Styela clava: one gene and its partner. The protein of the gene in region 1 interacts with the protein of each later gene in a pairwise test. Links are inferred from orthologs where the notes say so. Each region holds a gene or a part of one and is shown on either strand. Other genes may lie near its edges.

The links.
Region 2: the proteins of zinc finger TRAF-type-containing protein 1-A-like (region 1) and ubiquitin-conjugating enzyme E2 K-like interact in a two-hybrid assay, tested with the Drosophila melanogaster proteins (2 studies listed by BioGRID). The link is inferred for Styela clava from reciprocal best matches to the Drosophila melanogaster genes CG32486 and Ubc4.

Annotation. Positions count from the first base shown.
Region 1 is NC_135252.1:24,637,618-24,645,822, forward strand, and holds the start of zinc finger TRAF-type-containing protein 1-A-like, read right to left. Parts: upstream 4,068-8,205; 5' UTR 3,947-4,067; intron 2,240-3,946; 5' UTR 2,218-2,239; coding exon 2,056-2,217; intron 1,651-2,055; coding exon 1,540-1,650; intron 937-1,539; coding exon 758-936; intron 1-757. Other genes in the region: uncharacterized protein LOC144420931, read left to right, coding at 5,746-8,205.
Region 2 is NC_135262.1:10,412,334-10,420,538, reverse strand, and holds the start of ubiquitin-conjugating enzyme E2 K-like, read left to right. Parts: upstream 1-3,252; 5' UTR 3,253-3,385; coding exon 3,386-3,442; intron 3,443-4,034; coding exon 4,035-4,122; intron 4,123-4,754; coding exon 4,755-4,896; intron 4,897-5,539; coding exon 5,540-5,703; intron 5,704-6,290; coding exon 6,291-6,358; intron 6,359-6,526; exon of another isoform or gene 6,527-6,740; intron 6,741-6,926; coding exon 6,927-6,998; 3' UTR 6,999-8,205. Other genes in the region: glutamyl-tRNA(Gln) amidotransferase subunit A, mitochondrial-like, read left to right, coding at 907-2,481. UniProt on the Drosophila melanogaster protein: Catalyzes the covalent attachment of ubiquitin to other proteins.

The DNA of each region.
Region 1 (8,205 bases):
AAACAAAGTTAGTTACCTCCATACGGGTACACATACTTCTGGAGCGCCGAAAAGGGTACTCCGGTAGTGTGTGCACCAGGTTAGGACATAATTTTACTCCGATTTTCCTTATTTTAGTTCTATTACGAGTTCAGGGACTGTCTATGTTAACCAATAAGTTTCAGTCCCTTTACACAGCTTGATGTAAAGTGGGCGAACAAAATTAGTTACCGTATATTCTCGTTTTACCGCATGATCTTGATTGAGGGCCCGTTTGATTAGCCGCCCGTGTGAACAGAACATAAAAATAAATAAGGGCCGGTGCTTGGATACCCGCTCGATGTAAAAGCTGATTTTTCAGTGGTAGAGAACAATAGGAAATAAGAAGTGCTTTTGTCACAATGCTGTTGAATTTTAAGCGCTGGTGGATAACACTCACCCCTTAGACGTCCAATTACATAACAGATAGCATTGATTACGTAACACTGTGGTTCTCAAACTGGGTGACGCGACGACCAAGTGCGTCATTTCAATATTGATGGGGCGTCGCAAAACTTTTCTTATTTTGCGGATTTGTACCTGCGGTGCGTAGAAAAAGTCAAAATTTTCGTTATTCTCGTTTAAATCATACTTGAGAACTGGAAATGACAATAAGGTTTGAATAAGGGCCCGGTTGGTGAGTTCGGATAAAAAAATATGGGCCCGGGCTACAAAACGAGCAAATACGGTAGTTCCATATTGGTACACACACTTCTAGAGTGTCAAGAAAATCACAAACCTGCATTTGACTAGCCTATCAGCACAGTCTTCGGTCTGATGACCTTTAATCATGTGTCGAGCAAAACTTCCGCAACAATATACGCAAACGACCGGTAATTCTGATATTGTTTTCTCTGCAGTGAGATTTCTTGTGCAAGATCCGTGGCCGATGTCAACGCGGCAAGATGGACACGTTGGCTAGGAAGGGGTAGCTAATGTAAAGTCTTGACAATGAAAAAAAAGTAAGCGGAAATGAAATTTAAGCTGATGTGGTAGCGAACCACAGATACAAATTTGGAGTTATTATGCAATAGGATGCTTATTTATAAGGTGAATCACCGACTTTCTTGGAGGTTCTAGTTTATCATTTTGATTCTACAGATACACAACAAGTCTTGGCCGTAAACATACTAGTACTGTTTGTCTGGGAAACAGACTAGAGTTCGCTTGCCTACAAATTGACCTCATCCATATAAAAATCAATAATACAATTCATATAACACAATTTTAGTTCAATTTTCCATTTGTAACACAGAACAAAAAATGTACAACACAGACAAAAGTAACTTTAAGAATGATCTGGCAGCATTGCACAACCTTCTTTCAGATGTGATTATTCTGCCTAACCATCAATTTCTAGTCATAATCTCTTGTAATATTTACTTGCTCCCTCTTTCAACTCAGAATTATAATTGAAAATCAACGAGGCGATACCAGACAGCATTCACCCACCCGTTTCAGATGAGAATTTTCTGTCTAGTTACGCTTCAGCAATTTTCTAGAGGAAGAATAAATACCCACTTGTTCATCTTTTAACTTTGAATCAGCAAGTAAGTGGTTATAGCAGGCAGCACACATGAGATGTCCTCTGCAGCATTGGTAGCATGCTGATGAAGGCAAGTCAAAACAGACCTAAGAAATAAATGTGAGATAGATAATTCATTTATTTTTCATTTTTTAAGATACAAAAATGACAACACACAGAACGTAATGAAACAGACTAGATAGTTTTTAAGGCCTTTAGCACTCATGGCCCCCCTGTTTATCAATCCAGTGGTATTTATAGTGTTATTTTGTATGGTAGTTTCCAAATATCATTATGTTCGAGCAATTCATGCTCAACAAAGTGTAAACACCCTGTGAAATAATGAAAGTAATAAAGGAAACAGAAAAGAACAGGAGTTTTGAACCTAGCATTGTGACTCCCTTCCAGCTGCTCTGTGGTCGCTTGGGGGGTCCCCAGGCCCCAAGTGCTAATCCATGCTCCAGTCCCTGAATTGTACTAATCACATATCAAAAAAACCAATGCAAACTTACATTACAAGACAATATATGGCTCAATCTGTCTTCAAGGTTTGAATTCTTCTTTCTCTTTGTTGGAGGCTCGTCTGAAAACTTTGAGGTAGGTTTAGGTGTTGATTCATCCGACTCGACTTCTCGCTCATGGACAGGTACAGAAGACGTGGCTTGCGATTCCATGGTGTTATAACTAATATTAAGACTATATAAGTATAAACAAATGAAAAGAATATTTCAGTTTTGATATTTTGAATCCGTGGTGGACTGTGACTGGTGGGAATATTCACATACTAACATGCAAGTGCTCTTTTCTTATGCTCAGATGGCCAGAATTCTCCATATTTAATAATCTATAAATTACAAAATAAACCATCTAACCATTTATTTATTTATCTAGTGATACTGTTATCATTCGCTCCTCTGCAGTATGGCACGTCATGCCATTAGAAATACGCATGCCATCGCTAATTATTTGAGGAAGGATTGCTGAACTCCTCGCAACTGTAGGATGATTGACAAAATCGCTGGTCGATTATGGCTTCCTCCACCATCAAGTCTATGCTGCGGAAATAAAGTACTGACTAACTAATCCTATACCCGGCATGAAATGGTTACCGGACGAGAGGAAGTGGTTTGCTGTACGACTAGGCAGTCCTATCATCTTCTTTTTCTTCTAGTAAAAAAATGGGAAAATCTATCCTTCTTACAAAGGACATGTTTTATTAAAGTCATGTTAAAAAAACTAAGAAATTTTCCCTAGAAGTCAGCTGACTAACACAAGAGTAACAAAAAGAGTGAGGGTATTAAATTATAATGAATAATGACACGTCTCATGATCCTCTACTTGAGGATTTAATTTCCTCCGGATAGGATTGAGATAGATTATACATATTTATCCGAGGAGAGAAAAAGGCCAATAAGATGGCTTAGTTTTCAGATGCATGGACGCTGCTTATGTTGAATTCGATAAGAACTGTGTTTTTCCGAAAATAAGACAGTCTCTTATTTCAATTTTCTTTCGAAAAATAACACTAGGGCTTATTTCCGGGGGATGTCTTTTATTTTCATTTATCAAAAACTAAATTACAAAGTGAAGAATTACCAGATTTTTAAATTTAAAAAATTTGAAAACCGATATCCATTTACTTAAATAACACTTTTTCCTCTCTCACACGTTTTAGAATAATCATTTAAAACAAGTTGGAGAGATTTCTTGCTATTGACTAGATCAAAAAAAAATTCGCGCTATTGACTAGGTCTTGTTTTAAAGTGAGGGCTTATATTAAAATCAATGTTTCAGGGGGTGGGGAATTTATCTTCGCATTTAGTTCAAATATTATCCTTTACATATTTAGTTGTTTGTTTTCGGAAGCATGGACTTGATTGTGGAGGAAGCCGTAACCGACCAGCAGTTACGTGAACCACCCCACGTCGGCGAAGAGTCCAGCAATCCTCTCGCACATAACCATCCCTGCGTGGGATTCGAACCTGCGAACCCATGCAGAGTGATCAGAGGTGCGGTGGCGAGCGTATTCCTAACACTTAGCACGATGAGTCACACCGCCTCAATAACAACAACGCCACAATAACAACAACGTAGGCAATACACAACACACTGACTAAATTCAAACCTAACCACAAAACGCTGACGAAACACGATAATGGCGCATACGTACTGCACTGCCGTGAATACTAAAATATGATACCCCATTATGCCCTACCAACTGACCAACGACTGAAAGAAAACAAATTGCAGTATTGCAATTGCAAGGTTACCGTACTGCTATGGGTACGGCACCGTATCGTACCGAAGTCCAGAATACAAACTTCACAAATGATGGGGAATACCGGGGTACATCAAACATTACACGCACGTGGCGTTCATATTTAACAAAATATAAGGCATTACCTTTTCTCCTTCGGCGTGAATTTTAACCGTTGGGTGTGAGCAACTGCGACGCTGACCTCTTTTGTTTGGACAGCTGATCACAAAGAAGTCACGTGTCATAACAATTAGGTCATCAATAGCCAATCAGGAGTCGACAAGGCTGGAAACTTTGCGATCTTGCGAGTTGTTTTGGTTATTTTGGGAGAAATTCCGGTAGGAGGGAATAGGATTTACATATTTATTTCGGGGGAGAGGGAAGCCGATGAGACGGTCCAACCATATGGCGACTCACGGCCTCTCGTCCGGTGACCTGTCTATGTCGGGATTAGTTAATAAGCTAATTGTTCCAGGTGCATGGGCCCTTCGGCCTTCAAGTCCGATGGAAGTATAGCGGGGACTGACTGACAATGGTAGGTTTTGTCAATTTGTAACGAAGAAGGAAAGTCAGTATGATGGATTAATAATTTAACGGACCTTCGCCTGGTAATCAGTTCAGATATATCCAGCTCACGTGAATTATCTGGTTATCTGTTTCGGCATGTGGAGAAAATCAAGTTCCCGAGCCCTTAACTCAAAAAATGGTAGCTATGAAACCATCCGACACAAGCTGAAAATAGGTGAATTTTGATGAATTGAAAATGACCGGACCCTGTTACTGGTTACAATGGGAGTGTTTCAGTTGGCTTTGCATTCAAAATTTTATCGTCCGGCAGCCCCGGTATGATGCTTATTTATATAGTTTATTTTTTCCAACCAGTAAAAAATATTGCACACAAATTACGAGAAAATGATATTTCAAGTTTTACTAGGGAGTTTACACTTGGGATACACGGGAAACCAAAACTGGTTATCGAGCAGTGGTTTGAACATTTGACTGATTTATCTTGGTACTACTTACTTTTGGTGTGTTTACGTATGGTTCACTGCATCGCGATTATTGGCTGATTACTCGATTACTTCTTGTTATGGTTAACTGTCTAGAGCTTTAATCTGTCTTTAGATCTGTTCTCATAAGCTTTTTAATGGTGCTATAGTCATTGGATATGAATAATCTATTTCTTAAGTTTCTTACATTGGGATAATCTGTTCTGACAAAGCCTCATTTAAATGTAAGTGAATTGGTATATTCTTGCTTTGTATTGTGCCTGATTGTCTGTGCTCATTTTAATATTCATCTTTATTGTTTGTCAGGTCACTTTGTCTTACTGATATCTGGATTAAATCACTTTGGGAGAAATCTATTCGTTTCATTTCGGGATATTAGTTAAAGAGACATAGTAGGCAAGGGTGATTTGTCAATGGGCAGAAATCCAAACTAGTGACATTTAATGATACTGCACCTACACCTACAAACTGGATTCTGAATCAAGCAGCTCTTCTTCAACCTTTCGAGGATTCAGCAATACATCAAAGCAAGAATGCCAACTAACAATGGCAGAATATTTTCAAGGTCAGAATTTCAAACAACTCAAGAGTAAGTTTCCGGTACTCAAAGTAAATTTGGAAAGAATTTTAACACGATTTGAGCACTCTCTGGAAGGAAGAGATCTCTCGTAATCCAGCGAACCTTAGGCGACTAGCTCACGAAATTTCTCTCTTCTGCCGACGTATGGAAGATCTTGGGTTAAAACAGGATGCAAACTCGGTTATTTCTGTCAATAGAGCATTAGAGTGTCTAGATGCAGACACTGCACTGCGATATAATAGTTCCAGCAAAGGTAATTATAACTTGGAATCTATAACGAATTTTCTGAGATCTGAAGCTACAGCGTTGGAAATATCTGGTAACTTTATATAACTTTATCAGTCAAACCGAGAATATGAGGTTTCGACCGAGACAAAACCAGTCGCCAAGATCTAATTTCAATACGGTTAATCATGCTACAGACGAGAATGATAACATGGGTTCAGTTCAGCCACGTCAAAGGACAGTCACTTGTATTTTTGGATGTGGAATTAAGCACCGCCTTATAGACTGCAACAAATATCAAAACCTATCAATTCCTGAAAGAAAAAGCTTTATAGCAGATGATCGAAGATGTTTTATATGTCTAGGAACTCACTTTGCAAGAAATTGTGCAAGAACAACAGCCGATAGCTGTGTAAATTGTAACCAAAGACAGCATCATTGGTCATTATGTACCGGAAAAGTACAGGGAAATTACAATACAATGAGAAATTCTGGTATGAACGACTCGAATTTGGAAAGTCAACATATTCACTCTAATGCAGCAGTATTCAACCAATCTCAGATGCATTCAAGACAATTGAGCGCTTTTAATTTGGATTATTCTCCATTACTTGTTGCAGAAGTGCAGGCGAGTGACAAAACATGGATCAAGGCAAATTTCTTTCTTGATGGTGGCAGTAACCATTCTTTGGTAAGACGTAATTTTGTAAAATCATTGAAACAAAAGGCAATAGGTCATGGAACAATTCGGTTTGATGTCGCAGGAGGAGCCATTCATGAAGAACCTTCTGAAGATTATAATTTAAAAATTAGACCTCTTTCACGAGACCAGATATTTGATATCAGAGTTACGGCTGTGAGAAAACCTTGTCACGATGTTACACCAATTCCGCCATCTATTTTTAAACAGTTTAAATATCTTAGAGGAATTCAGGATAAAATACCAGTTGGGCAAAAAACAGTCGATGTTCTTGTTGGTAGAGATTATGCACCTTTAATTCAAACAATGCATTCATTACGTTCGCCAATTGATCCCGATAATCATCCTTCAGCAGCTTTCACATCTCTTGGATGCTATCTATATGGAGGCATTATTCAAGCACCGCAACGATCTTTCAATCATGTAGCAAATATTAATAGTTTTTCATCATTAGAAAATGAAGAGTTGCGCAAGTTTTTCCATGGTGAAGTTCTTGGAGTGCAACCCACAACTTTGTGTGTTTGTTCTAACTCAGAAATTGCAGAATCAGCATTTATCAAACATGTAAAAGCGACAACCAATATTGGTGCTGATGGCCGAGTTTGTGTCAAAATGCCATGGAAACCTGGTTTCCCAGAAAAATTGCACAACAATTTTGAGAAGGCGTATGAACAAATGAAAAAACGGGAACAAGAATTGTATAGAAAAGGAAAAACGGAAGAGTATAATATGGAGATTAAAAATCTGCTTCAGCGAGGCGTAGTACGACGACTAACACCGGTTGAAACGAAAACGGCTAAAGTTGAAAATGCATGGTACCTCAATCATCGTATCGTAGAACGTCCGGATAAAACCTCAACAAAATTAAGAATAGTATTTGATTCTGCGTGTCCTTTTAAGGGCACATGTCTCAATGATGGTTTAGAGAAAGGCCCCAGCTTTGCGAATTCTTTGTTCAGATGTTTCATGGCATGGCGAGCTGATAGTGTGGCTATTGCTGGTGATATATCGAAAATGTTTAATCAAATTCAAATGGCAGAAGTCGATCAGAAATTTCATCGTTTCCTTTGGCGCTATGGTGATTCATCAGTGCAACCAACAATCTTTCAATGGCTTCGGGTTATGTTCGGAGATAAATCTAGTCCTGACTTGGCATGCTTTACTATTAAATTTTTAGCCGATAAATTTCGAAAAGATCATCCTCTTGGAGCTGTTGTATTGGACAAAGATACATACATTGATGACGTCAGTCATTCTGTTTCGAATCACATTCTTGCAAACAAGGTTATCAATGATGTTGATCAAATACCTATTCGTGGAAAATTCTCTATAAAGATTTGGAACTCAAACCATCCTGAAGTAGATCAAAATCCTGGTGAAAAAGTTGTTGATGTACTTGGTCATTCCTGGAATAAAACTGATGACAGTTTCAGTTCAAAATTCAAAGACATTTCTTTCATGCAAACAGGATTTTCTAAAAGAAAAGCTTTAGCATGTGTAATGAAATTGTGGGACCCTCTGGGTTATTTACTTCCAGTCACAATGCAGTATAGAATAGATCTTCAAAAGATCTGGGCAGATGGATTTAGCTGGGACCAAACTTTGCCAGATGATGTGGTCAAATGCTGGTATAACAATGTTCAAGAAATGTCCAAGTTAGTTCAAGTTTCAACTCCAAGATGTCTGAAACCTGAAAACACAACTGGACCTCCTCAACTGCACGCATTTTCAGACGGTGGAGATTTAGCCTATGGCACTTGTGTGTTCCTACGGTGGCCTACAACAGGTGGAGTTAAGCTAACATTCGTTGCAGCAGAGGGATTTGTGGCGCCACTCAAACACAAAAGTACTCCAAGAAAGGAGCTAATGGGAGCAATAGGCGTGAGCAGA
Region 2 (8,205 bases), on another chromosome or scaffold:
CGTTTTTTTGGGGGATCCCCTGACTTTTGATCGATAAGTCCTCGGTCTCTGACCGATATTCTCGTTGGAAGGTTGATTCCTCTCTTGAACCAATTGTTTTACATGAGTACCATGTTGTTTATCTCCTGAAATTCATTCGTACATGTAAGGCTGGCTCCTTGCGTCCAAATCTACATTGAGTATAGTAGTCCAATAGCCAAAATTGTTTTTTTTAATTTGTGGGTCTTACTCCTCACTTTCAAATCTCATCATTTAAAAATTGATTTCACGGAAAAAAAATTAATTACTTTTATTTACTTCATTTTTTTGTTTGTTTTTTCAAATTTTGTGTCGTGAACTTCAACCATTTCTAATAATCTTATTTTACTGTGAATTTATCAGCGTAAACTTGGAGGGGGCTGACTTCGATGACCGCATGGTCGTATCGCTCCTTCCAGTCTACACCGAAAAAAGCGTACTTTTTTATAGCCACTATTTATTTATTATTATGACTGTTTTTTTCTGGTTGACGAAATAAATCTCTCTCTCTCTCTCTCTCTCTCTCTCTGACCCTTGATTGTCGCCGTAGGATGACTCACATAACTGCTGATTGTTACGGCTACCTCGGGTCTGGTGGTGACTAATCACAGTGTTAGTGATTCTTCACCTATAATATTTCCCACAACGTTCAATCATCCAATGTGTTGATACGTTTAGCAGTGTGACGGCTAGCATTGCCTTGTTTACTACATGGTATGCTTATTATACTTTGTTTACTGCTGTACTGCATTGCTATGGATGTTTAAAGGGGTAACAAACGAAAAATTACGAGTTATGTTTATTTAATTTATGAATTCATTCATAATTCATGAATTATTTTAATCAAATTTCTATAATGACAGATCATACTTGAAATCAGGATAACAAATGCATTTCAAGGGCATAAGAGCGATTTCTAGATCACTTCAAAAAAATGAAACATCAAAAAGTGATATATTCAAATCATCATTAACTAGAATAGATGAAACTAAGCATCTCAATGCTTTCATCACAGTTGCAAGAAAGGCTGGTAACAATGAGGTCACCAATCAAAAAAATCACATACTGACCGGAACTACATTCTCACTGAAGGATAATTATTCTTCCGAAGGTATACTCACGACATGTGGATCTAAAATGTTGGCAAATTATAAACCAACATACAATGCTACTGTACTTAATAAATTATTAAACCATGGCTCACAACTCATTGGAAAAAACAACATGGATGAATTTGCCATGGGGTCGGGATCTATAGAATCTATCTACGGTCCTGTGAAAAATCCTTGGTCACCTGACGTATTATTGAATCCGTCTAGCAAAGATTGGAGAGTTGCTGGGGGCAGTTCAGGTGGGGGTGCTGTGGCAGTCGCAACTGGATGTTGCCATTTTGCTCTGGGATCGGACACCGGCGGTTCTGTGAGAAATCCAGCTTCTTATTGTGGGGTTGTTGGTTTAAAACCTACTTATGGATTAATATCTCGTCATGGTTTAATTCCTCTTGTTAATTCAATGGATTGTCCTTCCATTTTTGCAAGATCAGTAGAGGATGCTGCTATTGTTTTAGATACATTAAAAGGGAGAGATATCATGGACTCCACTTCAATAGAAAGCAAGAAATTGAAAATATGCTTAAATGAAAATTATGATATTTCTGTCAAAGGATTAAAAGTTGGTATACCAAAGGAATGCCTAGTTCATGGCATGTCTCAGGAGGTTGTAGATATGTGGCGATGGGCAGCGGACCAGTTTGAAAATGCTGGTGCTGAAGTAACACTTGTGAGCTTGCCCCATATGAAATATTCAATAATTTGCTATCATATCCTCGGTAATGTGGAAGTTGCCTCAAATATGGCAAGATTTGATGGTCTTAAGTATGGACATAGGTCGTCTATAAATGAATCTACATATGCAATGTACGCAGTTTCTCGGAGAGAGGGATTCAATGATACTGTGCGAAGTAGAATTCTTAGTGGAAATTATTTTCTTTTAAAAGATAATATAGAAAAGTATTTTTATAAAGCGCAAAAAGTGCGGAGACTTATATTAAAAGATTACCAGAAAGTTTTTGGAGCACATAACTTGTATACAAGTTGTGATAGTGATGATTCTAATTCATCTGGTATTTGCGATGTTCTCCTTGCCCCCACTGTAATTTCTGATGCGCCATTATACTCTGAATTTATAACGGAGGACAATAGGACGCGATCAGCTGAGCAAGATGTATTAACTCAAGCTGCAAATATCGCTGGTGTTCCTGCCATAAATATACCCACTCGATTATCTAGAAATAATATGCCCATTGGACTCCAAATTACTGGTAGACACTTTAGTGAGCCAAAAATTTTGAAAGCCGCTGCTTTTCTTGAGAAAGTAGCACAGTTCCCTAATTTGGAACAACATTTTACAACACAACTTGACTCTTCCAATGCTAGTAAACCTATTTTACAACAGATGTCTTGAAGTGTTCCCTTTAATATATTTGTTTCAAAGCAGTTTCTGATTTGTCATTAGTAATATCATGGAAAGTGTGTTCGTTGGGAGTAGAGTGGTCTTGAAAATTAATTGAGATGGGGTGATAACGTGATATTGTCGAAACTTGTGTCTGGAGTATTCTTTGGCAACCTATGGTATTTTCTATTTCTGAGAGCCTTTTATTACTATCAATGCATTGAAGTTGACTATTAATAATAATATTGTGTTATTGACCAATTTAAAATTGTTTTCTACCTATTTAAAATAATGAGGTTCAAGACAACTTATTCGATTAGTTGCAAGTATTCGAAAAAGCTCATTTTTAATTACCTACTCGCAACTGAAAATAAGGGCCATTTAGTTAGGTTCTCATTGAGGGGTATTGATATTTACTTGTCATAGTCAATTTTATTTTTCCCATCCATCAAAAAATTGGCTCTTGTGCCAATGTGATATTATCGATGGTATTACTATTTCAAAATTTTGACACTGATTTATTAACAAAATTGCCAATAAGCAATTGCGGTAAAATTTGGATAGGGTGTCTCTTCTGTTTTTTGTTTTTTGCACACAAGAAGGATTGAGAATGTGGGCTGAAAGAGAGTCTAATAGATCTTTGAGTCTGACAGTTTGGTAACAGAAAAAAGGTTGGAAACCACTGTTCCAAACTATTAGTCTTTTTTGTTGATGAGGTTCTTTTTGTAATTGACTTATTAAGTTTTTTGTAATTGACTTTTTGCATTATGCGGTTTATGAAAATATTGTTAAAAGTCCGAGTTTATCGCACATAATTGAACCACACTTTTTCATTTTTCAGTAGATAATTTTCTTTAGTGATTATCTTGAAGCAAACTATATTTCATAGAAGTTTAATAAAGATCCAAACTTAGGAATGAGCAGCATAGCTGTTATGAGGATTAAGAGAGAGCTCAAAGACGCTGAAGATGAGGTATGCCAATCATGATTTAAGTAGAAGCAGTAGAGGGGATAATTAATACCAATAACTGTCAACCATTTATTTACCATATTATTAAAATTCAAAATTTAGAAAAATGATAAGATGATTGGTAGCTGGAACCACTAAAATTTCTGGTAGGTCAGGCTCTACTTCCATCTAACATGGTAAGCTCGGCTCCTCCAGTACTGGTTCCAAATCTTTCAAATTTGATCGATATTTTGTTTTAATAAGATAAGTTAGTGTCGAAAAATATTTCACCACATCCTCTATTGAGCCCTTTCACGACCCGCCGTTGGCTGGGACTCCCAGTTAGAAATGAATGTTTTCTAACATACATGCTATTTTGTGAGAAGAGAATATGTTACTCTCAGTAGAGGTGTGCGAGACTAACTCCCAATCCTTTCTCAATGCCTTTACGCTAGTGGATTCGTATGCGTGTAACGCAAGGATGCTGTAGCATGAATAAAATACCATAATATGTTATTCACTTTTTGGATATTAGTACCAATATTCAATAAGCATTCAATGCATTTTGAACTCTAATATTTACAGCCCTTGATATAAACTGTTATCTGTGTTACAGAAAGATTTGTTTATAACGATCACTTGTGAAAGTAAACTGACAGAATTGAGAGGACAGATAAAAGGCCCACCAGGAACACCTTATGCTGGTATACCCAATTGTTATGTCTATTTTCTAGAGTGCATTGATAAAAATAAATTGCCTATTCGTATGTTTCGTTTTTACATACCAGTAGCTGCCACAAAATAATTGACACAGTTACCTATTCGTATTATATCTCCACTTTTCAGAAGTGGAATTTGCTTTGATATAAATGTAACTCTACAATTAGGGCCCTTCTTTGTAGTTGAAAACACTAGCAAAATGTTGAGATAGTCCTTTGTCAAATTTAGATTATCAATCACATGCTTTATTTAAGCATCAGTAATATTTCTTATTGGAGACACTCACAAATAGTGTCCTTATTTCAATTTTCTTGTTAATTTCTGCCACAATGGCTAATCAGTGAAACGATCTCATAGAAGCTGCATTAGATGTGGCTTATTTCGCAAAATAAATCCAAAAATGAGCATGAAAAATTTGTCAATGAGAAAGTAGCCTATAGAAAGAAATTTTTGGGTTAAAAGTCTGAGAAACATCTAATACTTAGTTCTTTGAAGGCGTTATTCTGATTGCTCCTCAATGCCAAGGCAGTTTTAGTATCTTGTAGTTGTAGACTTTTTTGTTCATGTTGTATTTCATAAATTGTATAGCTTATCTAATTTAGATTGTTTTTTTAAGGTGGAACTTATGATTTGGATATCAAAATTCCAGACACATATCCATTCAATCCACCGAAGATAAAATTTCTAACACAGATTTGGCATCCAAACATTAGTTCTGTGACTGGAGCAATATGTCTCGATATCTTGAAAGATCAGTGGTACGTAGAATGTAAAACATGCTCAAATGATAAAAATAAAAGTTGTAGTTAGACAATAAAAGTCTGGGTCATCAGGGATAGTGAAGAAAAATTCGCAATATTTTCCCAATTGAATAGAGGATGGATGGAAGAGGACCCATCACAGGATAACCGATATGACGACTTTTTCATATGGTAAATCACGTCGGCGCTCCAGAAGTGTGTGTACCAATATGGAGGTAACTAGTTTAGTACGCCCACTTAACATCAAGTTGTGTAAAGGGACTGAAGCCTATAAGCAGGGGGTAAATTCATTTGACTAACACGGACAGTCCCAGTACTCATAATAGAACTAAAATAAGGAAAATCGGAATAAAATTATGGCCTCACTCACCTTAACCTGGTACACACGCTACAGGAGTACCAATCACGTCAGCAAGCAGCAGTCCAGCAATCCTCCAGCACATAATTACCGGTATCCCCTACAGGATCCGAAACTGTGAATGAACCCATGCAAGAGGTTCGATGGCGAGCCTATTCCCAACACTTCGCAAGATGCGCGACTCTGCCGAGCGAACTACAGCGAAATACTCAGCTACTTTGCCGATAGTATATGCATGCAGATAAAGCAGAATAATAATATCCTGTGAATTTTATATTACAGGGCGGCTGCACTTACATTACGAACAGTTTTATTATCCTTACAAGCTTTACTGCAGGCTGCAGAACCAGATGATCCACAAGATGCGGTAGTTGCAAAACAGTTTAAAGATAATCGACATATTTTTAATAAAACAGCATTATATTGGGCGCAACATTTCGCAAAAGGTAAGTTGGTTTATTTGAGCGCAATTTGCAACCAACTCTATCAATTATTCGTTTTCGTTTACACTTTCGTGTATCTTCGTGAATCGATGCGAAGCAAATATAATACTCAATAGCTGATGAATAAACTGAACACATAATGAAATTTAAAAATCTATGACATGGTCATGTTTAACTAAGAACGCATGGAGTAAATAGCTTTCAATGAGGTTGTATTCGTTAATGCAGGAATTATTTGAATGATTCTTACTATTTTTGCAGTTGTTGTGTTTTGTTATGCTGTTAGCCTTCAATTGCTCGACATGGTAATTTTGCCAAATAAAATTATTCCTAAAGTTAAAAGAAGTTTATTGAAGTATCAAATATGGCTAATTTTAATTTTCTGTATTTAGCACGCACCTGCTTCGCAATCAAATATTTTGTTAAACCACAATCACAAATATCACTTGGCTTATTACCTAACCTTTTCTTTTCAAAATACTCTCATCTATCAGTATTCTGAAAAAGCCTGCAAAAAAGATATCTGCTTATACTAAATCAAAGTCAATTACCTAGGACTATTATGAATATTCCATTTACTTTTATTGTAGCACCAGGGAAAAAAGAGGAAAGTTTTGAAAAACAAATACGTACAATCACGGAAATGGGTTTCTTTCAGGTAAGATTCATTTTCATTATTAATTATGTTTTTCGACCCTAATGGAGTCAATGATGGAAAAGGGGTTATTCATGTGCAATTTTTAGCTTCTTGTAATATTGCTAGCCCAAGTATTTCGACTCCATAACCATAATCACGAAACAATAAATAAAACTGATTACAGAATCAAGGGAGAAAAGTATGATCATATCTAATCAGGTAACTGGTAATTTGTTCCTCTCAGCTGTCTCTTATATTAGGTGAATTAGTGATATTGAATGATACCACTGAGATATCCATATGCAGATGGTTGTTCAATGTCATCTACTTCTGAAATCGGCAAACAAGGTGTCACTGACACAACGACTTTGGTAGTCTTCCGTCTGCTTGCGACTCCCGTCAACTGCGGAAAAAATATCTTTTTATTTAAATTGATCGTTTATTATTATATATTTTTAATTGTGTCGTCACAATTTTTCATGCACAACGAAATAAATATCTGAATCTACCAGTCGCCACCAAATTCTTGATCATTCCCAGCTACTGTGCAGTGATATTAATCTTATCATATTTTTCAACATTTTTTTAGAGTGATGCATTGCAAGCACTTTCTGCTCATAATTGGAATATGGAATCAGCAATACAGTATTTAACAAGTTGATTTTTGATTATTATATTTATAAAAAGTTTTTTACGGTATAACTTGATTCATGTTCCAAGACATTTTCCCTTCTACGACAAATGTGTGCCACTGTTTCAAAGCATTGTGGCTATAAGACACTTCTGCAGTCTTTGTTATCATTGGATAACATTTTATGAGGTCACAGTTCTAATATAAAAATTTCAAATTTCTGTTGAAAGAGATACGTTTGAAAGTTGAAAGATGATTTTTGAGTGGTATCTTCAGTTGGTCACTCCACCCTAATATGCATTAAAACATAGTTTCAGACAATACACATGATGTTATGACTCAGATTTTGTTTGTCTTGAGTTACGTTTGAGTGCAGGCTTGTGAATTCAATGTGAGAACATGATGTGATGTCATCGACTGAAAATGGAGTATTCAATAGAGTTTTGGTCCGGCATTTCCTCTACTGCTCATATTTTTTTGGAGTGTTTCATTCATGCATTAATATGGAGCTATATGATAATGAAAAATCGGACCTCCAGAAGTATGCGCACCAAGATGGCGCACAACCTGAACATAGTATGTGTGTACCGGTTGGGATTCAAACTTCTGAAGAACCGAAAAATCAATTATTATTAGAAAACTAATTGTTCAAAAAACTTGCATTTATCATGACTGACCAGGTCATATTATTTCTGCTTGGTTATCCTAGACATTGATTAATTTGAAAGACTGGGCAATCGCATGCTATATAAATTGAGTCAATTCTATATCAAGCCAATGCTTCCAATATAGTTTCACATATGTATATTTTTTTTCACTTCGCAGGCTTCAAAAACTTATATTTCTATCATATGAGCGATTTTTCTGCTGCGCGGATAGTAGGCTATATTGAATTTATTACCAGTTAAAATAGCAAGCTCCTGTTTATGTAAGAAACAAGGGATTTTCAATTATTGGTATTTGTCTGCTTCACAGCATCTATTGAATGACTCTTACCGTTCAACATTTCTATCCTTGCCTTTTGTTTAGTTTAGTCCATTATGTGGAATATACCAAATTTGAACAGTTCGCCAATTATTTTCATAAACTTGCTGCAACATCTATTCATTGTCTGTGCTTCAGCATCGAGAACAATTGCTATACTATTTGATGTTATTATGTTGTAAAGAATACCACAATATTCTCATGTCTATATAAAAATTAATGGGAAGTGTATGGTTGCATTTTCTAAATACCA